Arabidopsis thaliana: one gene and its partners. Each later gene encodes a partner of the first gene's protein in a complex. Each region holds a gene or a part of one and is shown in the gene's direction. Other genes may lie near its edges.

Evidence for each region.
Region 2: AT3G24870 (region 1) and AT4G37280 share a complex: the UniProt entries of both Arabidopsis thaliana proteins name them as parts of the nuA4 histone acetyltransferase complex.
Region 3: AT3G24870 (region 1) and HAM1 share a complex: the UniProt entries of both Arabidopsis thaliana proteins name them as parts of the nuA4 histone acetyltransferase complex.

What each region holds. Positions count from the first base shown.
Region 1 is NC_003074.8:9,080,958-9,088,125, reverse strand, and holds the start of AT3G24870 (Helicase/SANT-associated, DNA binding protein), read left to right. Parts: upstream 1-2,706; 5' UTR 2,707-3,106; intron 3,107-3,807; 5' UTR 3,808-3,847; coding exon 3,848-3,987; intron 3,988-4,095; coding exon 4,096-4,150; intron 4,151-4,203; coding exon of another isoform or gene 4,204-4,243; coding exon 4,244-4,341; intron 4,342-4,417; coding exon 4,418-5,780; intron 5,781-5,888; coding exon 5,889-6,008; intron 6,009-6,216; coding exon 6,217-6,420; intron 6,421-6,737; coding exon 6,738-6,926; intron 6,927-7,022; coding exon 7,023-7,103; intron 7,104-7,168. Other genes in the region: AT3G24880 (Helicase/SANT-associated, DNA binding protein), read left to right, coding at 128-1,669. UniProt on the Arabidopsis thaliana protein: Component of the NuA4 histone acetyltransferase complex which is involved in transcriptional activation of selected genes principally by acetylation of nucleosomal histone H4 and H2A.
Region 2 is NC_003075.7:17,544,965-17,552,838, reverse strand, and holds AT4G37280 (MRG family protein), read left to right. Parts: upstream 1-3,279; 5' UTR 3,280-3,476; coding exon 3,477-3,617; intron 3,618-4,209; coding exon 4,210-4,263; intron 4,264-4,372; coding exon 4,373-4,386; intron 4,387-4,476; coding exon 4,477-4,622; intron 4,623-4,725; coding exon 4,726-4,761; intron 4,762-4,896; coding exon 4,897-4,937; intron 4,938-5,119; coding exon 5,120-5,221; intron 5,222-5,397; coding exon 5,398-5,477; intron 5,478-5,568; coding exon 5,569-5,738; intron 5,739-5,820; coding exon 5,821-5,905; intron 5,906-5,997; coding exon 5,998-6,091; 3' UTR 6,092-6,262; downstream 6,263-7,874. Other genes in the region: AT4G37290 (uncharacterized protein), read left to right, coding at 2,656-2,910; HMA1 (heavy metal atpase 1), read left to right, coding at 6,487-6,987, 7,087-7,237, 7,334-7,518, 7,649-7,795. UniProt on the Arabidopsis thaliana protein: Chromatin remodeling factor. Acts as a 'reader' protein by binding to H3K36me3 and H3K36me3 to control histone H4 acetylation. Increases the transcriptional levels of the flowering time genes FLC and FT.
Region 3 is NC_003076.8:25,826,699-25,833,962, reverse strand, and holds HAM1 (histone acetyltransferase of the MYST family 1), read left to right. Parts: upstream 1-3,293; 5' UTR 3,294-3,459; coding exon 3,460-3,766; intron 3,767-3,904; coding exon 3,905-3,993; intron 3,994-4,075; coding exon 4,076-4,135; intron 4,136-4,230; coding exon 4,231-4,440; intron 4,441-4,574; coding exon 4,575-4,643; intron 4,644-4,768; coding exon 4,769-4,930; intron 4,931-5,023; coding exon 5,024-5,117; intron 5,118-5,198; coding exon 5,199-5,341; intron 5,342-5,426; coding exon 5,427-5,630; 3' UTR 5,631-5,803; downstream 5,804-7,264. Other genes in the region: FAS2 (Transducin/WD40 repeat-like superfamily protein), read right to left, coding at 80-106, 201-312, 552-665; C/VIF2 (cell wall / vacuolar inhibitor of fructosidase 2), read right to left, coding at 1,546-2,088; AT5G64600 (O-fucosyltransferase family protein), read right to left, coding at 6,032-6,167, 6,266-6,361, 6,454-6,638, 6,723-6,936, 7,043-7,179. UniProt on the Arabidopsis thaliana protein: Histone acetyltransferase which may be involved in transcriptional activation. Acetylates 'Lys-5' of histone H4 (H4K5ac). Essential for gametophyte development. Involved in DNA repair after UV-B exposure.

The sequences.
Region 1 (7,168 bases):
TGTTTTAGTTTGTAGACGTTCAGCGCTTCTAATTTTTGTCAACCGCTGGTCGATTGTCATTTTGAAACTCGTTGACAACATTACGACCTCTACAGTGGTGATAAAAACTGATATTCATGAGTTTCAGATGCAGGCTGCTCAAGGGAACAGTCCGGGGATCCCAGCTTTCAGTAATTTGAGTTCTGGATTTACCAACCAGACAACTCCTGTTCAGGCGTACCCAGGCCATCTTTCCCAGCAGCATCAGATGTCACCGCAGTCACATGTGCTTGGCAACTCGCATCATCCTCATCTCCAGAGCCCAAGTCAAGCCACTGGGGCACAGCAAGAAGCATTTGCTATCCGTCAAAGACAAATTCACCAGAGGTATTTGCAGCAACAGCAACAGCAACAGCAGTTTCCAGCATCTGGTTCTATGATGCCACATGTACAACAACCTCAGGGCTCTTCTGTTTCTTCTTCTCCACAAAACAGTCCTCAGACTCAACCACCTGTTTCGCCCCAGCCATTATCCATGCCCCCGGTGTCGCCCTCTCCTAATATTAATGCTATGGCACAACAGAAACCTCAAAAATCTCAGTTGGCGCTTCATGGTTTGGGTAGGAGTCCTCAGTCTGGTACTTCTGGAGTGAACAATCAAGCTGGAAAACAAAGGCAGCGACAACTTCAGCAGTCTGCAAGACAGCATCCACACCAGCGGCAGCCAACACAAGGTCAACAGCTGAATAAACAACTGAAGGGGATGGGTAGAGGCAACATGATCCATCAGAACATCACTGTTGATCAGTCACACCTGAATGGCCTTACCATGCCCCAAGGAAACCAGGCTACTGAAAAAGGAGAGATAGCGGTTCCAGTTAGGCCTGATCAGCAGTCTAGTGTGGGGACTACCACGAGCACGAATCTGCAGTCTAAACCATTTGTTTCTCCCTTGTCTTCAAATCATTCACAGCAACTGCCAAAATCATTCCCTGGTGCTTTGCCTCCATCCCCTCAACAACAGATGCAATTACATTCAGACAATAGCATCCAAGGCCAGAGCTCACCTGCGACCCCATGTAATATTTTATCCACCTCTAGCCCGTCAATTGCACCAGCGGTTGCACCTTCTAACCATCAGCATTTGTTGATACACCAAAAGCAGCGCAATCAAGTGCAATCAACAGCTCAGCGAGTTGTTCAACATAATCATCTAGGGAACTCTGAGTTATCAAAGAAGTCCCAAGCTGAACGCATGCCACGTGTTCCACAGTCTGTAACCAATACTACCCAAACTGTTAGTATGGGTACGACCAAGGGTATGCCTCAAGCGAGTAATGATTTGAAAAACATAAAAGCAGTTGGTTCTACTGCGGTGCCTGCTTTGGAACCTCCATCTTGTGTTGCTTCTGTGCAAATCACTGCTTCGAAAGTAGTAAACAGTTCCAATACAGATTCAGCAGGAAATGATCCAGTATCAACACCGAACCAAGGACTAGCTCAAAAGCACGGGATCAAGGGCGTTACACAGAGACAACAACAGTCTCTACCTTCAGAAGAAAAGAGACCGAAATTGCCAGAGAAGCCGACTGTACAAAATCAGAAACACCTTGCTTCTGAGGAGCAGCCTCATTTAGAAGAAGCACAAGAATTATCATCTTCCAAGCCTCCTGATACAAAAGTGGAATGAGAGGCATGACAGATGAACCTAGAACCTTGAGTAGCTGTAGATCCTGCAAAGCTTAACGCTGGCCCTTACCGACAACAACCCTGTACAGGAACCCAAACTGGTTTGTGTCCTCCACCTTCAGAGTCGGGTCTCTTTTTGGCATTAACATCTTGAAGCTGCTGGTGGTCTTTGGATTTGGCTGAGAGTATAACATAACAAACTCTACAGATTGTGGAGTTTGCAGATTTGGTAAGGCCAGAGGGAGATCAATAGGGAAGAAGTTGGTGGATAGGATAAAATTCATGCAGGTCTTTTTGCCTCTTTTGATGAACACAAAGAGAAGAAGGTATATCATAATGTAAATTACCCACTTGCATCATAGAGAAGTAGTCTCTTCTTCTTCCCATCTTTTGGTTTGGGAGAGAGTAGAAACAGTTTATAATGTTTTGTATAGAAGTCTCTACTCCTCCATCCTTGTGGCATATACTTAGGGCCCTTTTTTAACCTTTTCCTCTAACTTATTCTCTTGTAGGTTTAGGTTAATTTGATGAATGTATCATTGTTCTTTTATGGTTAAAAAAAAAGTTCACTTCACTCCCATAAACATTAGCTTACATAGTGCATTTCTTCAAATCCGTTACCTATGTTACAAATCTAAAAGCAACAATGACTAAATCTCTACGTTAGAAAGAATCAAAAGCATTGTTGATAAATTGAAGAAGCTGAGTTTGAGAACTCTGAATCAAATTTTAGATTTTTTGGATACTTCGGATAAACCCGAATCCGAACCCAAAATATCTGATCCACATCCGATCTAAACCCAAATTTTAATATACCCGAATGCGTCCTAGATTTCTAAACCCGAAACCGAAAACTCCGACCCGGACTCGATCCGAATTGCCTATGGACAACGTGGGACAAATATAGTTTTACAAAACCAGCGACATGCCTGAGATTTGTAGAGATCCATGTCACACAACATGAAACTGTTATAACTTTATTACTACAAAAAGGCCCGAAACAAGACCAAGCAAACAAAAAGAAAGGCCTTGTTTGGTCAAAATCTCAGGCCCAGAATTCGGAGAGAGAGAGAGAGAGTCGCATACTGCGTCGAGGAGAGAGAGAGAGAGAGAAAGAACGAAAAAAAAACATCAACGAGAACTCAATTTTTTTTTTTATCTCCCGAGAGGGAAACCAAAATTGAAAACGAAAAATAGCTGAATTAGGAATCAATCTCGCAACAAGCAAGCAATTTCCATGGATTCCTTGTTTTGGGAGGAGCTTCTTCTCTTCTACTCTCTGAGAAATTGATTCTCGTCTTTCGATTTGAAAGAAAAGCTTATAAGAATTTGGAAGCCCTAGGAGAGAGAAACTAATTTTAGAATTTGGTGATTTTGCCCGAGTTTTGTGCCCTAGCTTTTTGCCTTCGTTCTGTTCTGTTCTACGTTCAATTTCCAGGTTTAACTCTCTTCTCCTTCACTCTTCTATTCAAACCCTAGAGTCCAGCTTTGCTGGAGCTTCTGTGATTTTGAACCCAGTGCTTCTTTTATCAGGAATGTGAATTGTTTGCTGAAATTGTGTCTCTGTAGTTCTTTGTTTCTACTCGTTTAGCTTGGAAATGCTCAATACTTGATTCAAGAGTTCGTAGGCACGCCATTAAGTAGCTTAAGCTGATCATTTTCTAACTTTGGTTCCTAGTAATCGTTGTTAGTGTTGGATTAAGCTTCTAGAACCTCTCTGCCTTGAGGCAACATTTCATTTCTTTGGTATCTTAGAGTTCTATTCTATCTCTGTTATGCTGGAATACGTAGTTGTGAGCTTCTCGGGGATCAGAATGGTATTGGCGTTAGATATATAGAATTCTCAGTCAAATACTAGATTCTGGGGAGTTATCTTCACTTTGATGTTCCTTTGGATAGTGGCTAGAGTATATGAGTGAATGTTGTTTTACTTTTGACATCTTCTGAGCAGTTACATCTTGAATCTGATAAGCTACTCTATTATATGATATCATATGGTACTGCTTTTTGCATCATGAGAACATACATTTTACCAGTGTTATTTGTAGGTCCAACATTTAGGTGTAACTGATTCTAACTTCTGCAGTATGATCATTCGGAATGCTGTAAATACTGAAAGCTCTTGATATAATTTTTCAGTTAAGCTAGAATTCGAATTGATGGGGTATTCGACGTGGTGATGCATGGAAGCGTTTCAGGATATCTTCTAGTAAATGCTGAGGTTGATTCCATGGGAGGAGTTATCGATAGTGGAGGTGGTATTGGTGTTAAAACATCTCCGCGCCGAACAGCTATTGAGAAGGCTCAAGCGGAGCTAAGGTATTTCAGATTGAGACATCTTGATCTTCTGCAGTGTGTTTAAATGCTCTATAATTTCTACAGCTTTCTATTATTTCCAATGTGTAACAAAGATGCTTATTTCAACAGGCAAGAGTATGATGTTCGTGAGGAAAGGAGGAGAGAATTGGAGTTTCTAGAGAAAGTATGAATACCTATTTCCCTGTTCTATAATTGTTTTGTGTGTGTGTGTGTAAGAACTTATGATGACAAGCCTTTACTCTTCTATCTGCTTCAGGGCGGTAATCCCTTGGATTTCAAGTTTGGTATTGCAACTTCACATAGCGTCCAATCTACATCACTCACAGATCAGCAAGCAGAGCATTTTGTAAACAGGTACATTCGTGTTTGGTGTAGTTCCCACATTAATTTCATGGAATAACTCATCATTATTTGCCCATAACCCCCACAGTGAAGTCAAAGATAGTTTTGCCCTGACTGCCTCACCACATGGTGACTCGGTGGAGAGTAGCGGTAGACCTGGAGTTCCTACAATTTCTGAACCCAATACAGCAGATAATCTTTTACTGTTTGATTCTGAAAACAAGTCAGTTGAAGGGGAAAGAAATTTGAGACATCCTAATAGGCAAAACAGAACTTCTGAGTCAGAACGATCTTCCAAAGCACACACCAACCAGAATACCAAAGAAACAGAAGATTCTGCCATCTTTCGCCCGTATGCTCGGAGGAACAGATCGAAGATAAGTCGGGATCCAGCACGGTCAAGCTCTACGGATTTAGTTCAGAATCGTGGTGGTCTTGCAACGTCTATATCTATTCGCAGAGGATCAGTGGAAGGAAAGGGTTGCATTCCCGAAGCAGCCAATCAAAAGGATATGCATACAACTTCTGTATCTTGTCCAGTATTTGCAAATTCAAATGGTAATATCGTTCCGAAAAATAGAGTTTCCAGCAATTCGCTGAATACTAAGGTGGATGGTGAACCTGTTGTACGAGAGAGTACTGCTGGATCCAAGACTAGTCTATTGAAAGATGAAGCCGACATTTCGTATAGTAAAAGCTCTGCATATTTGCCAGTTGGAGAGTCTGGCCTTGCTGGGGAGAAGGCACAACTAGTTTCGACTGGTGGTTCTCCCAAAGCTGCAACAATAGCTGGCCAGAAAAATAGTTCTACCCAACTGAATGGCCTAAGAGATTCCACGGTAGAGGAAGAAAGCTTAACAAATAGAGGAGCTACAGGGACTAATGGGTTAGAGTCAGAGTCTTCTCATGCGAACAACGTAGAAGTAAATGTAGATAATGAAAGAGATCTTTATAAAGTGGACAAACTTGACTCTGATGAAATCTCTATGCAGAAGACTTTGAGAGTAGAGGGGTTACTAGATCAAACAGTTGGTGAAATGACCAAAACTAAGATTGAAGATGAGACAGGTCAATCTACCACCATTATCAGTGAGTGCATTCCTGAATGTGAAATGCAGATGAAATCGGTTAAAATTGAAAATCAAAGTCACAGAAGTACAGCTGAGATGCAAACTAAGGAGAAAAGTTCCGAGACTGAGAAAAGGCTTCAAGATGGGTTGGTTGTACTCGAAAATGACAGTAAAGTTGGTAGTATTTTATCTGAAAATCCTAGCAGCACGTTGTGCTCTGGAATTCCTCAGGCATCTGTAGACACAAGTTCTTGCACAGTTGGCAATAGTTTATTGTCAGGAACTGACATTGAAGCATTAAAACATCAGCCGAGCTCAGATGCAGTTATGTTAGATACTGTCAAGGAGGACGCTATTCTTGAGGAGGCCCGGATTATACAGGTTTTCTTTTTAATCTTGACTTGATGATTTTTAGCTATCTAGTTTTCGTAGAAGTTATGATGTTATGTACCTACTCATCTTTTTATGTATGACATAATACATTAACAGGCAAAGAAAAAAAGAATTGCCGAATTATCTTGTGGTACTGCACCAGTGGAGGTCCGTGAGAAATCTCAATGGGATTTTGTCCTCGAAGAAATGGCATGGCTGGCAAATGATTTTGCGCAGGTCTGGTCTAGTTAAATTATCTTTCTAACATAAATTCTATATATCTGCATGGAAAATGCTGCATTTTGTGGATTTTTGTTCTGTTTATTTACTACGGCGTCTGGTCATTCGTCTTCTTAAATGAGCTTGTCCACTTTTATGTTACTGGAACATTTTTCCGTGACTGTTCTAATTGCATTCTGTTACCTTTTTTCTTTTCATCTTCTAGGAGCGCCTTTGGAAAATGACTGCTGCCACACAAATTTGCCATCGAGTTGCTTTGACTTGTCAGTTGAGATTTGAGGAACGAAATCAGCACAGAAAGCTGAAAAAAATAGCTTCAGTCCTATCTTATGCTATTTTACAATTCTGGAGTTCTGTGGAGGCCGAGGTTCCTGGGGAGCTGGAGGAGACGAGCTTGGGAATTGTTAAGGTATTTGACTGTCTGACCTCTTTTATGGTTTTTGATGACAATGATGATCATATGGTTCTTTCCGTTTCTTTTAAATTAGAATTTATACATACACTCGTTGAATTCTGAGAACCATATTATTATGTTTGTGACTAGACTGCAAAACAACACAATTCTACTGATATTTCCTTCTTATGATTGAGAAGCCTGATCTTTCTTATTTGCTTGCATTGTCTTTGATAATTACCTTCAGGAGTCTCTGGTTCTGTCGCTCTTTATGTTATGATTTTTGTAAAACTTAATGGTATCAAACTAAATATTACCGTGGTTGTATGCAGGAGACCTGCCAAGAATCTAATTGTTTGAATGGCATAAGATGTTTAGCTGCGGGTGTCAAGGAATATGCAAGTAGATTTTTGAAGTACAACAACTCTTCCATCTCCTATCATTCAGCTGCACTGTCAACACCTGACAATATGTGCGACCCAGAAATATTGGATATATCTATGGTTGATCAGCTTACAGAAGTATGAATTTCTGAAAAGATTTTCCGCAGCCTCAGTTGAACACTATTGTTGTGGATAGTTCTACATTATTGCTAATTGAGCTTTATTACTGTACAGGCAAGCCTCTTTTATTCAGTTCCATCTGGTGCAATGGAGGTGTACCTTAAGTCCATTGAGTCGCATCTTACACGTTGTGAGGTATGTGAGATTGTTCTATGCTAGGAGCTCGCATATTGTAACCTTGATGGCGTATATTTTCCTGA
Region 2 (7,874 bases), on another chromosome or scaffold:
AGAATTTTTTTTGAGCGGAGGCTTTCTTATTACAATGACTTAAGTTGATTACTTGATTTAACTCTACGGTCGTGGATCATCGACTCGGTTTTAACCTTTAGAAACTGGAAGAGTACTGATGAAGGTAGGGCACGAATGCGTAGAAGTGACGTAGGAGGAGGTAAGAGAAATAAAGTACGTATTTGTTTCTCACACTTTCGCGAATAATTTGATCGGAATAAATTTGACCATACGAATCCTCGAGACTTGTTCTGCATAGTGCATAGGAGAACGTTTTCATTGTATTGATCGATTTTTTTTTTTCTTTTTCTAATTAAGTTTTGAAGATTTGTGAATGGTAAGAACTAATGCATGATTTTTAGTACTGTGCAAAGAAATAAATAAGAAACACAAAGATCAAACAATGAGTCCTAAGAAGTGGAATTTTTAAACCAAAATCATACTAAATCATAACTCAACGATAATTAATAAATGAAAACTCTAGAATTTTTCAAAAAACGAACAAAACATAATTGTCATGTTGGTTCGTGGGCATGAGAAAAAGAAGGGAGATAACATAGACAGACAAATTCGGTGGTACTCACACAAAATACTTGTATGGACGGACGGACTCTAACTCTGCTTCATAGTTGTCATGATAACAATATTGGCATCTATCTTCTTCCTCTTTTTCCTTTTTGTTTTTAAACGTCACTTCCCCCACATGTATGATGTACCCTCAATTTTATTTCATTATCAATCTTGCATCTTCGAATCTTTTTTAAAAAAAATCGAGTTTGCAGAACTAAATCCATAATTATTTCTAATTTCGATTTTTTAATGTGAAATATTTAGTGGTCAAATATGAATATAAGTACTGTTTATGGACGAACCATGTGAACATATCATGTTTTCGATATACAAATTATGATATTGCATTGTGCAGTCACAATTTGGTTCTTTTGAGATGTTATAGTTGTATACTACCTTAATCCCTAGAGATACATATCTGCTATTTGAATGGATTAAAGATTTGCTTTTATATAGATTTAAGTAAATAATTGAAATTCTTTTGTCCAAAGATATTTGTTCAAGAATTATATTAATTTCATGTAATTGGAAGGAATACAAAAGACTGGAATCTTGATAATGAATTTATTAATGCAGAATTTGATTCCATTATTAATGGACTACCACGTCCGAACTATACATAGTTAAACATTTTTTCTTCTTGTATTATTCTGGCGTGGTCTTACGCCACTTATAAACTATATTATTTTGGCCAAACCAATATTTATAAAATCGAAATAAAACATTAAACCGGGTTTTAAGTACTTTGTTTGTATTATTCAATAATTGGTTATTAAACTAAGTTAATAATTTCAAAATAGTGATTTCACCTTAAAATATGGGAAAGAGTTTCCTGATGCTCTGGAATTTGGTTTCTTTGTCTTATACTCTAACTGCGGATAAAAAGGAGCGATTTTGCTATAAAAAGGAACAGTTTGAGATGATATTACACTTTATTCCGGTAAATTATTTGGCTACCATCAATAATATATTCTTCAAAACTATCAATCTTCCTTTTTTTTTAGAAAATAAATAAATTTCATCACAACTCTGTTTGAAAAATCGTTTATGAACTTGAGACGGAAAAATTATCATAATTCAACGTCATATAGCAGCAAGAGTTGAAATAAAAATTAATGGTTTTGTCTTTTCATAGGATAGATTTCTTATTTCTACCTAACAAAAACTAAAATTTGGATGTTGAATTTTGAGTAGTATAAAGTTTGGTTGTTCAATGTTTTTTGCAAGAAAAATCACGTGAGAAGGAACTATTTTTGGTCGTGCAAGAAAAATAACACCAAAGTGTTTGAACTTTTGAAGCATTGATGATTAGGTTTGGTGTATCTAACAATATTATAAAACAAACACATGAGATCCGACTCATAGTCAATTTAGCTTATGTCACTCCTTAAATCAGCTGGTTTAACCGAACCAGAAACCCTAACCAAATTTTTAAAAAAAATTCAAGTTATCTGATTTTAAATTTATTTTCTATATATAAAAAATTTGGCTGAAAGTTGAAACGAAACCAAAGCTAGAGATGTACATTTTCTAGTAAAGTAAAATAAAGTAAACAAATTCAATCTGAAACCAACAATATACCATAATATACTTACGAAAACCAAATCTAAACCGGCTAACGATATATGTGAGTGTGACTTTATATACGTTGCGAGTTTGAAATTCAAGCATTATTTTTGGTCTACACAACTACAAATCTACCTTAATATTTAGCTGCCGTCTGCTCCAAACAATGAAACTTCATGTTTGGTCTACGATATTAAATTCTTTATTTCTAATATTCAATTCCTTATCCTTTTCTTCATTGATGGCTTTCACTATTTTGTGTTCAATAAATACACACAAAATTGAATGCTCAAGAAACAAGTTGGTATTTTCCCAGGAAGCAGCATACTAACTAATTTCAATGATCACATTCTTTTCAATTCAAACTTAGTCAAGAATAAAAATTCAAACTTTGCATCTCCACGAACACTACTATATAGTCACATTCTCAACTCACAAAACACTCACAACAAAATTCATTATCTGCCAAAGAGAAAGAAAACCATATTTTTTATAAACAGAGTTAAATTGTTCTTAAACATGATGATGAACAAAAACGTTCTGAGTTCGATTCTGTTCTTCATGTTGATTGGTTCGGTTCTTGTCGAGAGTCGTCCGCTTGGTCTAACAAAGACCGAGGAGAAGTTCGTGGCTAGTTTATTCGATGGCTTATCACTTGGTTCGATCAAAGACTCAGGTCCAAGTCCAGGCGAGGGTCATAAGGTCGTGGACAGGAAGGATACGTTTCGATTTGTTAAGCACTCAGGTCCAAGCCCAAGCGGACCGGGCCACTAATGTTTCAATCTTTAGTTCAAACCGGGCCGGTTAAAGTGCCCATACCCATCTAGGTCGAGAAAATTATTTCATTTTTTTGTTCCAGTTTCATTAGTGGAAAATATTATACATGTCTCATGTTTCTGATCGATACATAGGAAGAAGAATGGCAAAAACAATAATTATTGTCTCATTTTTCTATATTTAGGATTATTGTTTTGTTAGTGAAATAAAGTTACTTGAAAAGTATACAAATAAAATGTATTAATCAATTTTTTTATATTTATTTGAATGTAATAATAGTTAATAAACATCAGTGTCCAAAGTGAAATATGAGTCCAACTGCTCAACGACCAATAAAGGCATAAATTTTTTTAAAAAGACAATGCTTTATAAATGGGCGACGAGTATATTTAAAAGGTTTAAGAGATTTAATCGAACTATTGTGAAAGTTAAGGGACTCAATTGAAAAACTATTCGCAACGATTCAGTCATTCAGCAGTTGTCGTAGATTCATTTATCTAGACGGTTAAAGGGGTGCCTTGTGATGTGAAGATCTTTGCCTCTCGCTCTCGCTTTCGGTGACAATGGGAAGCTCGTCGAAGGAAGAGACGGCGAGTGACGGAGATACGGCGAGCGGTGGCGCCTCACCGTCCAACGACGGCAGACTCTTCTCGGAGGGCGAGCGTGTTCTCGCTTACCATGGTCCTCGCGTCTACGGAGCCAAGGCAAATAAAAAACCTCTCTCTCTCTCTCTCTTTCTCTGTGCATCGTCAGATGTTCGCATAATTTGAATTCTAGAGATTATCTTGTTCGTGTTAATTTAGCAATTCTTGTATTTCACGTGGGTTTTGGTTGTATCCGACTACGGAATTAACTGGTTTCATTGAATTGAGATCTCTCTGCTAGATTTGGCTTAGGGGTTTCTTGGTAGATTTCGGTTTCAAGTTACGACGATCCGAAAGATGAACCCATTGAGATTGGATTCGAGTTTTCTTTTTTTGGTAATGGATTCATGTAGCATTAGAGCTTTTTAGATTGGAATGATCATAAATGCTTAGTCGTAATAGATGCAAAAGAATAATTCACTTGCCGTTGGAGCAAGGAATTCAATAAATTACTCGGAAAATAGGGCAAGCTAATCTACTTGCATGTTTATTTTTTCAATCATATATTATATAGGTCACTGGATTGAGTCTCATTCATATCAAATGTGTGTCGTTGTTATGCTAAATCTTCATAGTTTTGAAAAAAATCTGTTATTGCATAGTGTTTTCAGTGTGTGGGCAGACCTGATAGATTATTGACATTCCATTACAGGTTCAAAAGGTCGAGCTTCGGAAAAAGGAGTGGAAATACTTTGTGCACTATCTTGTGAGGCCTCCTTCTTCTGAGCTATTATAGTTTCATTATCCTGTTTCATGTACTAGCTATTTTCATTTTGGTTTGCAGTAATAAGTGATACAGCGATCTTTGTCTGCAGGGTTGGAACAAAAAGTGAGTATCTCTCTCTGCTCTCATGTCGATTCTGGTTTATGTAGCAAAATCAGTAGATTGGGACCCATGACATGATTGTCTTGCCAACAGTTGGGATGAATGGGTTAGTGCGGATAGATTGTTGAAACATACCGAGGAGAATCTTGTCAAACAGAAAGCTCTAGACAAAAAGCAAGGAGTTGAAAAAGGTACCAAGTCTGGCCGTTCCGCTCAGACAAAAACTAGAAGCTCTGCAGGTGAGTTGTTGCCTCCACATTGACCATGCTGAGAGTACATGATACATATTTTGGTCATCCAGGCTAAGAAACTAACTATTTCTTTCTGATCTTGCACTTGCAGACACAAAGGCTGATAAAGATGACACCAAGACCAATGGTAGGCAACATATTAATTTACGCTCCCTTTGTAGTTCAGGGTTCTCCCAACAATTTCCAAGGAAATGATTTGGTAGACTGGGTGCAACTTAAATTATTTAAGCTGGTGTATAGATGATTACATTTTCTGTTGCAGCTGCAAAAGGGAAGAAACGAAAGCACGAGTCAGGCAATGAGGTCAGGCTTGCAAAAACTTAGAGATGTATTTGGTTCATACCTGTTAGGTCTTTGTTAAGATTATATTTTACAGTACAATAGATGGCTGATGTGTTGTTATGCATATACACACATACGAAAAGGGTCAATTTTTCAGGTCTTCTAATATCGATAAGGTTTTTGTTTTCATTTGTAATCTATAGAAGGATAATGTAACGGCGGAGAAGCTAATGAAGATCCAAATTCCCGCATCACTTAAAAAGCAACTCACTGACGACTGGGAGTATATTGCGCAGAAGGACAAGGTATCATCAATTTTCTCTATTTTGTGCACATACTTTTAGCACTATTAGAATTGTTATTGAATCAGCTAGACTTGAAAGTTAAGAGACATAAGTGTGTATTTGTAGTCGAATGAATTGTGTATACCAAAGTGAAGGGAAATTGATGTTTGGTAATCTGTCTTCAAATGATTATATAGGTTGTGAAACTTCCTCGTTCACCTAACGTCGATGAGATATTGTCCAAGTACCTTGAATTCAAAACCAAGAAGGATGGAATGTGAGTCTTTTACTCGAACACAGAGTTTGATATATTTGAATCTTTTCCGAAATCCAACGATACAAAATTTTGTGTTTCTGTTTTTGTGCAGGGTAACTGATTCGGTCGCTGAAATATTGAAAGGCATAAGGAGTTATTTCGACAAGGCATTGCCAGTGATGCTCCTATATAAGAAAGAGAGGCGACAATACCAAGAATCAATCGTGGATGATACTTCACCTTCAACTGTTTATGGCGCCGAGCATTTGCTCCGTCTCTTTGGTAAAATCTCATTAAGTTCTTATTTGGACAGTAAAATTCGATGTTCTGAAATTTTATTTTTGCTTTTTTTAAAAATCTGCAGTCAAGTTGCCAGATCTTTTTTCATATGTAAACATGGAAGAAGAAACATGGAGTCGCATGCAACAAACATTATCAGACTTCCTCAAGTATATATCTAATCTCTCTGTTTCATCACTACCATTTTGATTTCTCGGTTTTAACGGTTAAATTCACAATTTCTGGAAAAAAATCTTTACAGGTTTATTCAGAAGAATCAGAGCACTTTCTTGCTACCATCAGCATATGATTCTGATAAGGTTTCAGATGGTAAAGGCAAAGGAAAAGACGACTGACATCTCCAGGAAAAAAATATTGTTGTAATTTAGAATTCCTTCATTTTTCTGATGAATTCATAATTGTAAGATTTGCAGCTGAATATGAAATATTTTACAGGCCTTTGAAGTTAACTATTTGGTTCATGTAAATTTCTTTAAGTGGTCAATAAAACATCCGGAACAATGGAACCTTGGTTGGTAGAAGGCAACAAAAAAAATGGAAAAAATAAAAAAGTGTATGAGATGAGATTATTTATGTGGCTAATGTCATCGGAATAATTACATTGGTTCTCCTTCTCTGTTATTATTCTTTCATCTTTTTCACCAAGACGAACGACTCTTACACGCAGAGTTCGCGAGATCAGAATCAATGGTGGCATGAAAAACGACGCTTGAGCTCAAATTCGTCGACCATGGAACCTGCAACTCTTACTCGTTCTTCCTCTCTTACTAGATTCCCTTATCGTCGTGGTTTATCCACTCTCCGACTCGCTCGAGTCAACTCGTTCTCAATTCTTCCACCTAAAACTCTTCTCCGTCAAAAACCGCTTCGTATCTCTGCTTCCCTTAATCTTCCACCACGGTCGATTCGTCTACGTGCTGTCGAAGATCACCATCACGATCATCATCACGATGACGAGCAAGATCATCACAACCACCATCATCATCACCATCAACACGGATGCTGTTCTGTGGAATTGAAAGCGGAGAGTAAGCCTCAGAAGATGTTGTTCGGATTCGCTAAAGCTATCGGATGGGTTAGATTGGCCAATTACCTCAGAGAGCATCTTCATCTTTGCTGCTCCGCCGCTGCAATGTTCCTCGCTGCCGCCGTCTGTCCTTACCTTGCTCCTGAACCTTACATTAAGTCTCTTCAGAACGCATTCATGATTGTTGGTTTTCCTCTTGTTGGAGTAAGGTTTTCTATAGCCTTCTCTATAAAGCTCCTTGCTAGTTTTATAATTTAGCCAGATGATTTAGTAATTTAGCTTTATGGTCATCGATGTTGTTAGGTTTCAGCATCTCTCGACGCACTTATGGATATAGCTGGAGGAAAAGTGAACATCCATGTCTTGATGGCACTTGCGGCTTTTGCATCTGTGTTTATGGGAAATGCTTTGGAAGGAGGATTGCTTCTAGCTATGTTCAATCTTGCTCATATTGGTTAGAACTTGACCTTAATAAGGATTAGGGATATGTCATTGTTAATGTTTATCATGACGGAGAGGTTTGAGCTTTTGTCTTGTCATTTTTCTGCAGCTGAGGAGTTCTTTACTAGTCGATCAATGGTGGATGTCAAAGAATTGAAAGAGAGTAATCCAGATTCTGCATTGTTGATCGAAGTACACAATGGCAATGTTCCAAATATATCTGATTTGTCATACAAAAGCGTTCCTGTGCACAGCGTAGAAGTTGGATCCTATGTTTTGGTTGGAACTGGTGAGGTCTGTGAAACTTTTCTATTTGCTTTCATTACTTGAATTTCTTAAACATGTGACCCTGTATGTCATTAGTTTAGTTTTAGCAGGGTTACAATTGCAGCTGTTAAGTAATGGAATTTTTTTTTCCATTTAGATTGTGCCTGTAGATTGCGAAGTCTATCAAGGTAGTGCTACAATTACAATTGAGCACTTGACTGGGGAAGTCAAGCCGTTGGAGGCAAAAGCTGGAGATAGAGTGCCTGGTGGTGCAAGAAATTTGGATGGCAGAATGATTGTAAAGGTATTTTTTATCCTATTCTCATTGCTTTGGCTTGTCTCTTTATTTGAAATCCTCATGCTTATCTCAATCCATGGAATTT
Region 3 (7,264 bases), on another chromosome or scaffold:
AAAACTGCACAATTGGTTTCACTACTCATTCAAAATATGCAAAACACACTTGCATTGCATCTAAGCCTCTGAGGCATACCGTCTGCTCCCGAGGCAAGTAGTTCCCCTGCAAAATAATCATAGAACAACACTCGTCACCACAGGAATTAACATGATTACGGCTAAAAGAACATATCTGATAATACAAAGCTAATGCATACCAGATGGAGAAAAACGAATGGTATTGACAGCACATCCATGGTAAGTAAGGCTACTCTGATAAGATACACTAGGAACCTTCTTCTCCGCTTGACCCGAATTTATCAACCATAGCTGAATAATTTTCAATTGTTTATAGTCAACAGTGAATGCAAAGTCAACAATCACAACCAAAACAATTTCAGATGTTCAAATTCATGAACCCGTGAGAACCAAATTCAAACATTTGAATTTTAGAAATTCTAAACAATCGCAGACATTCAAATTCCAAAATTACACAATTAGTGACTATTTGATCAAACTCAGATCCTGAAAATGGATACAAATCGATTTTGATTTGAGAATTAAATTACCTTGATATCGTAATCGGCTCCGGCGGTGGCGAGTAAACCGGAAATCGGGTGAAAATCTACGGTTAGCACCGGCTTCCCATCGTGCCAACTTATCTGTATCGTACCTCCCTTCATTTTTGTCAATCCTCCACAATGCCCAGAATCGTGATTCGGATTTTCTTGAGAAAATTTTCTAGGGTTTGTGGATTACTGGGAAGAAGAATAACTAAAAGGACTGTCACTCTGGGCGCGTCTTCTGGGATCATTTGGGCGCGAAATAGTAGTCTCCGTGTCAAATGACGATTTTATCCACCGACTAGTCCGGTTTATTCTAAAACCGGTCTTATTAGTGTTCGTATATGGTTTAATTATTTTGATGCTTTTAGTTCAATTATGAGTCGATTATTTGAACTGATATCGAAAACTGTAGACTAGTCAATGACCTACGAACATTCACTTTCAATAATTTATGTAAATGTTTCCACCTAAAATGATATTAAAAAAAGTCATACGTCTTTTGATTTTGATTCGCATAGCAGTCGACGTCGTCTTAAAAGCAGTACTAGTTTATGAGGTCGATAACTATTCTGCATTAAAATTGTTATAAAAAAATATATAGACGACGTTACCTTTCTCTTTTAAGATGACACTTTTGTAACCTTATCGCAATTTTTAAAGTGTAAAACATCTCTGAAGCGATAACACGTATAATGCATACAGATAAAGCAAAAAGTTACCTAAAGATATATAACGAATATACAAATATCTCTAGTACTTCCCATTTCTTAAGAAGCCTTTTCCCCCAAATCTTCGTCACTTAAAATTTTTGGTATGATTAGTCAATTGATTGAGAAATATTAAATTCCAAATATTCAGGTGATCTCTAAAGATTGTTCTTCTTGGCAATTTGAAAGTTGTAGCAAAGACGAAAGTAATAAAGTAACGGTCATATTAAATTCATGAAATACGATAATTTAAATAGAGATTTTACGAAAGTAGTTAATGCAAATGTAAATCATTCAACAAGGCGATCAAGAATCCCGGAGACAACACCACAAATACGTCTCAGACTAGCTTCACGCCGGCGAATCTCCACCGGATAAGCCAACCCTTTAACCCGCCTAAAAATATTCCGGCAAACATTAGGATAATCCTGCGCCGCCAACACATGCATGGAGGCATAGTCATAAGCTTCATCATCAAGATCTTGAATCGTCAGCCGGAGAGAATCAGCGGCGAGAGCATACTTCTCGGAGCAATCTTGTAAGACCTTTTTGAGAACGGTGTCTTTTACGGTGGCGGATAGGTTTCCAGCGATGTAATTTGCGGTGGAGGTGGCGTTTGTCATACCAACGCCGACCATAATGGAGGCGAGACCTTTTGTGTCGGCTGTGGGACTTCTTGGGTCGGATTTGAGAGCTGAGACGCAGAATTTGTAGTAGTTTGTGGTTTTGCAAGTTGATTCGATTATTGTTGTTGTGTTGGATTTGGCTGAGATTAGGGTTGATGCTGAAAAGGTTAGGGTAACGAGGAGGAGGAAGATGAGAGAAGAAGCCATTTCAGGAAGAAGGTTTTGAGCAACTGTTTACGGAGAGATAGAGATGGAAGAAAGAGGATTCTTGTCTTTATATTCTGAGCAGTTTCTTGAATTACATATTTTACAAAATAAATACAAATGATAACGTTTCCGTTTATCATTTGTAATTGCACTAAATGAGGAATGATTTTCGCATGTAGTGTGGTAGTTTATACTAATATTGACCTATCAAGATTTAAATTCACATGATGCAAATTGTTGGTCAAATAATGAATTAAATTAAAATACGTTTTTCCAGCTTCGTCATTTCATTACATTTGAGTATCTTTACTTTATTTTTGAAGAATTTAGAATTGATGATATACGAACAAGATATTTGTCGATGAATCAATCATTGTAGGTAAAAGAATCAGCCACTTCAACACGTTATTTCCAAAATTTGATAACTAAGTTTTGTTTGCTCAACCAAAAAAATTCTGTCTGTTTTAAAGATTTCGTCACTCTTTTCTCATTTTTTCTTACAATTATACAATTTCACATCATTATTATGAAAAAGGATACACGGTGTGTAGTAGCTACAAAAATTAGAAAGATGAATATATGTCACCAAATTAAATCATTTTATTTAAATTTTCCCTTTAGTCAAGTTGCCATATAAGTATATAACGTGTTTACATGTGAACAACTGAAATAGGAATCAATTCTATTTTTCTTCATTCGAATTTCAAAAGTAAGTAAGTCATCCACTTCAATTCATAACCGAAAAATAAAAGTAAATTGATAGTATGTAAAAGTAAAACATTCTTTAAGAAAAATGAGATGTAAAATTTCACATACAAGATACAGTAAAGTGACCATGTGAATCTTTTTTGTTCATAAAAAATCATTTTGGTTAATCTAGAGGAACATGGTGTGCGAATCTATGACCATAACTTCAAGGACACGATGATGAGTTGTGTTTTTCGTCTTTGCTTCTTGGAACTTTGTGATTTTTTGATCTGTGAATCTTGTGATTAGTACGAATCATAAAGCCTTGTTTGGCTGTTTCCCATTCACGACAAAATACTGACTCTGTCACTTATTATTTATCTCTCATTATCTCTTTAGTTTTTATAAATTGTTTGCTCCTACTAATCATTCTTTAAATGTAACCTGGCGATTATAAAACTAAACATAAGCCAACAGTTATAAAACGTGTATTAACGACGGTAAGAGATTTTTTGCACCCAAAAAAAAAGGACGGTAAGAGAGACATATAGTACAGGCCAATTATAAAGATAGGCCCAATTGAGCATTCAAAGTTGTTATTGGGCCACACTCCTTCCAAATGATGTTCTTTATCCGTATGAGAAAAGAATCCACCCGGAAAAAATCTCCGACCCGACTAAAGAAATGGGATCGTCTGCGGATACAGAGACGGCGATGATAATCGCCACACCGGCGTCGAACCATAATAATCCGGCAACCAACGGCGGAGATGCGAATCAGAATCATACTTCTGGTGCGATACTCGCTCTCACGAATTCAGAATCGGATGCTTCGAAGAAGAGAAGAATGGGGGTGCTTCCGCTCGAGGTTGGTACTCGCGTGATGTGTCAATGGAGAGACGGAAAATACCATCCGGTGAAGGTTATCGAGCGCCGAAAGAATTATAATGGTGGTCACAATGATTACGAGTACTACGTTCATTACACAGAGTGTATGTCGTTTCCTCCTTTCTCTATCTGAAATTTGTGAATCTAGGGTTTATAGATTGGAGCTGAAATTTCGAAGAATTGAATTAGAGGGCTTTGCAATTCAAGTTGTTTTGAGTATCACAACTCTTGTGAAACTGCAGTTAATAGAAGATTGGATGAATGGATTAAGCTTGAACAGCTTGACCTTGATTCAGTAGAGTGTGCTTTAGATGAAAAAGTTGAAGACAAGGTATTAGCCATTTTTCTTCAAAGTCTTGAGCTTTCCTCTCCGTAGTTTGCACTGAAACATAGAAGTTTGTTTGTGGTAATAGGTGACTAGCTTGAAGATGACACGACACCAGAAACGGAAGATTGATGAGACTCATGTAGAGGTAAAGTGATTGGTTAAGTTAGTTAAACTTTGTTGTGGTTTTAGTGAACTGTGTGGCATGCTATATATTCTGATGTTTTTCGATATTTTGTATAGGGTCATGAAGAGCTGGATGCTGCCAGTTTGCGTGAACACGAGGAGTTCACGAAAGTGAAGAACATAGCTACGATTGAGCTTGGGAAGTATGAGATTGAGACGTGGTACTTCTCTCCTTTTCCTCCAGAATACAATGACTGCGTGAAGCTCTTTTTCTGTGAGTTTTGCCTCAGTTTTATGAAGCGCAAAGAGCAGCTTCAAAGACATATGGTGAGCAACTGTTTTTTTTATCATTTGTAGCATTTTAATTGTTTTGTCTTTACAGTTATTTTTAGTTTCACACATACCTTTTATGGGTCATTCTTTTTACTTAAGTTTTGCTCAATCGTCTTTTATCTATGCAGAGGAAATGCGATTTGAAGCACCCCCCTGGGGATGAAATCTATCGAAGCTCTACTTTGTCAATGTTTGAGGTAATAGATTGATGTTTTCATCCTTAAACTGTTTGCTTTAGGCTTACGATACTTGTTTGGAAGCTAATAAATGTATTTAGAATTGAATTTTCACGACCTGGGAGTTTATTTGTAATATCTTACAGGTGGATGGCAAGAAGAATAAGGTCTATGCACAGAACCTCTGTTATCTGGCAAAGTTATTTCTTGACCACAAAACTCTTTACTATGACGTTGATTTGTTCCTGTTCTATATTCTCTGTGAATGTGATGATCGTGGATGCCACATGGTTGGATACTTTTCAAAGGTATCAGCACACTTTGGCTCTTGGGTCTGTTATATACATGTTCTGTTTCAATTTGATTGTCTGATGAAAAAAATGCAATTTCTGTTGGTACAGGAAAAACACTCAGAAGAAGCTTACAACTTGGCTTGCATCCTTACACTTCCTCCATATCAAAGGAAGGGCTATGGCAAATTCTTAATAGCCTTCTGTGAGTTTTTGTTTTTCATTCAACTCTTCTTATTTGTTCTCACCTCTCTCTATAAAGCTTACACGTTATATTGTGTTATAGCCTATGAACTCTCAAAGAAAGAGGGCAAAGTCGGGACACCGGAAAGGCCGCTCTCTGATCTAGGGTTAGTGAGTTACAGAGGTTACTGGACTCGGATTTTATTAGACATTTTGAAAAAGCACAAGGGAAACATATCTATCAAGGTATGTATATCTATATATCCGTAATGATCCTTTTTAGCCTATCTGTCAACAGAATAATTCATATATTCAACTTTTTTAAATGTAGGAGCTGAGCGACATGACAGCGATTAAAGCAGAAGATATATTAAGCACCCTGCAGAGCTTGGAACTGATACAATACAGGAAAGGACAACACGTAATCTGCGCGGATCCTAAGGTACTGGACCGACACTTGAAAGCGGCAGGCCGAGGTGGTCTTGATGTGGATGTGAGCAAAATGATATGGACTCCTTACAAAGAGCAGAGCTAAGAGGGCATTACACTTCAAATAGTTATGGTTATGGTCTACTTTTAATCTGCATATCCTTAGATGACTTTTGTCTGTAACAATTTAACACGCACTCTGTTCAATAGATCTTGTAACTGTAGGAATCTTTTGTCTGGATGGTAAAACGATCAGTAGTAACTTTGGTGTTTCATTCTTGTTCCATTCTGATTGACAACAGTTTGGTTAAAATTTGGAATATTTGAAAAAATGCCGAAAGAGAAGTTTTATAACTAAATGTTAAAAATTTCTGGCTTTCTACTTCGGCTAGAGATCTCCGGATATCAAAAACAGAAAAGATATCAAGGGATATGTGAAAACTATAATTAAGATGACTATAAATGAGATGTAATGATACAGAACAAAAAAAGTTTGGAAAATTTTAGTTAGGGTTCTTTGTGCTCCTTTGAACTGCAAATACACTCTGGATATGGATTCTCATAAAAGGCTTCTTCAGTTCTAAACCGTGCACGTCCTTTGATCCCCTGCGTTGGTCCTTTCCTTCTCCTCGGTGCACCTTGTCTGCAAAACCGATCAAACAAATCCTCTTCTCGCATCAAAGATGTGCTTTTTTTTATAGGTTTATTGTTTAAGAAGCAAACGTATGACTCTTTTGCTACCTGTCTTTATGCATTTGATTCACAAAATTGGACAACTTTGGTCCTTCTTTTAGCTGTCCTCTCTCCATCTTAACGAAGAGTTTCACTAGTCCTTTCCTGCATACAACACCAAACTTGTCATGGCCTATAACAAAATGACTAAAAGATTAATGCTTTTTTTTAAGGTAACAGAAGGAAGGAGATAGAACCTGTCGGGAGTGATAGTCCTGCGATGCCCTAGAAATCTGCGGTGACCTTCAACTGCTCTTGCCATGTTTCCAGAATGTGAAGGAACAAACACATCACTCTCAACAGAAATTATGTAATCAAGAGCAGCCGTTTTAGTCGCATGGCCAGTGAAACCTTTTAACTCTTCGTTCCCAGCAAGCGTTTCCTACAAAATCCAGTACATGAAACATAAACATTTATCATCTTTAGATTGTCAGTAACATGAAAGATTAGAGGTGGTTGAACAGACCTTAAAAACCAGATTTGGGAAGCGCGACTTAAGCTCAGAGAGTCTATCATCACCCCCATAGATTTCCCCTGCTGCAATATATATGACTGTTGACTGAGAATATCCGAGACCTTTCAGAAATATTCCCACTTCTTTTGGAGTCAATGGACAAAGGCCTTCCTCTCTCTGCTCTGTTGAATTTATACTTTTGATCTTCCAATGGCTTGTACTTTCCCTGTGACCAACAGATAACATATTGAGCTTGAAACTGTAATTTTATCCCATGAAGACGTTTTGCATGTTTGCTTTGTTAAGAATAGATGCAGAGAGTAATCAATTACCGCATTACTCTCAGTTCTTCGGATTCAGCATCAGTGAGACCATAGGTGCAACCAGTGAAAGCCAACATATCTTTCTCATATCTCAGGTGCAATGCAATATATCTCCCAGCACGTGACTTGAGTCTCTCAACCAGCTTCTGTGGTGTCACCGTCATGATTGCTCAGAACCCACAGTCTACAGGAATCCCCATAGGACACCTCTTAAATGCATAAACTATGTTT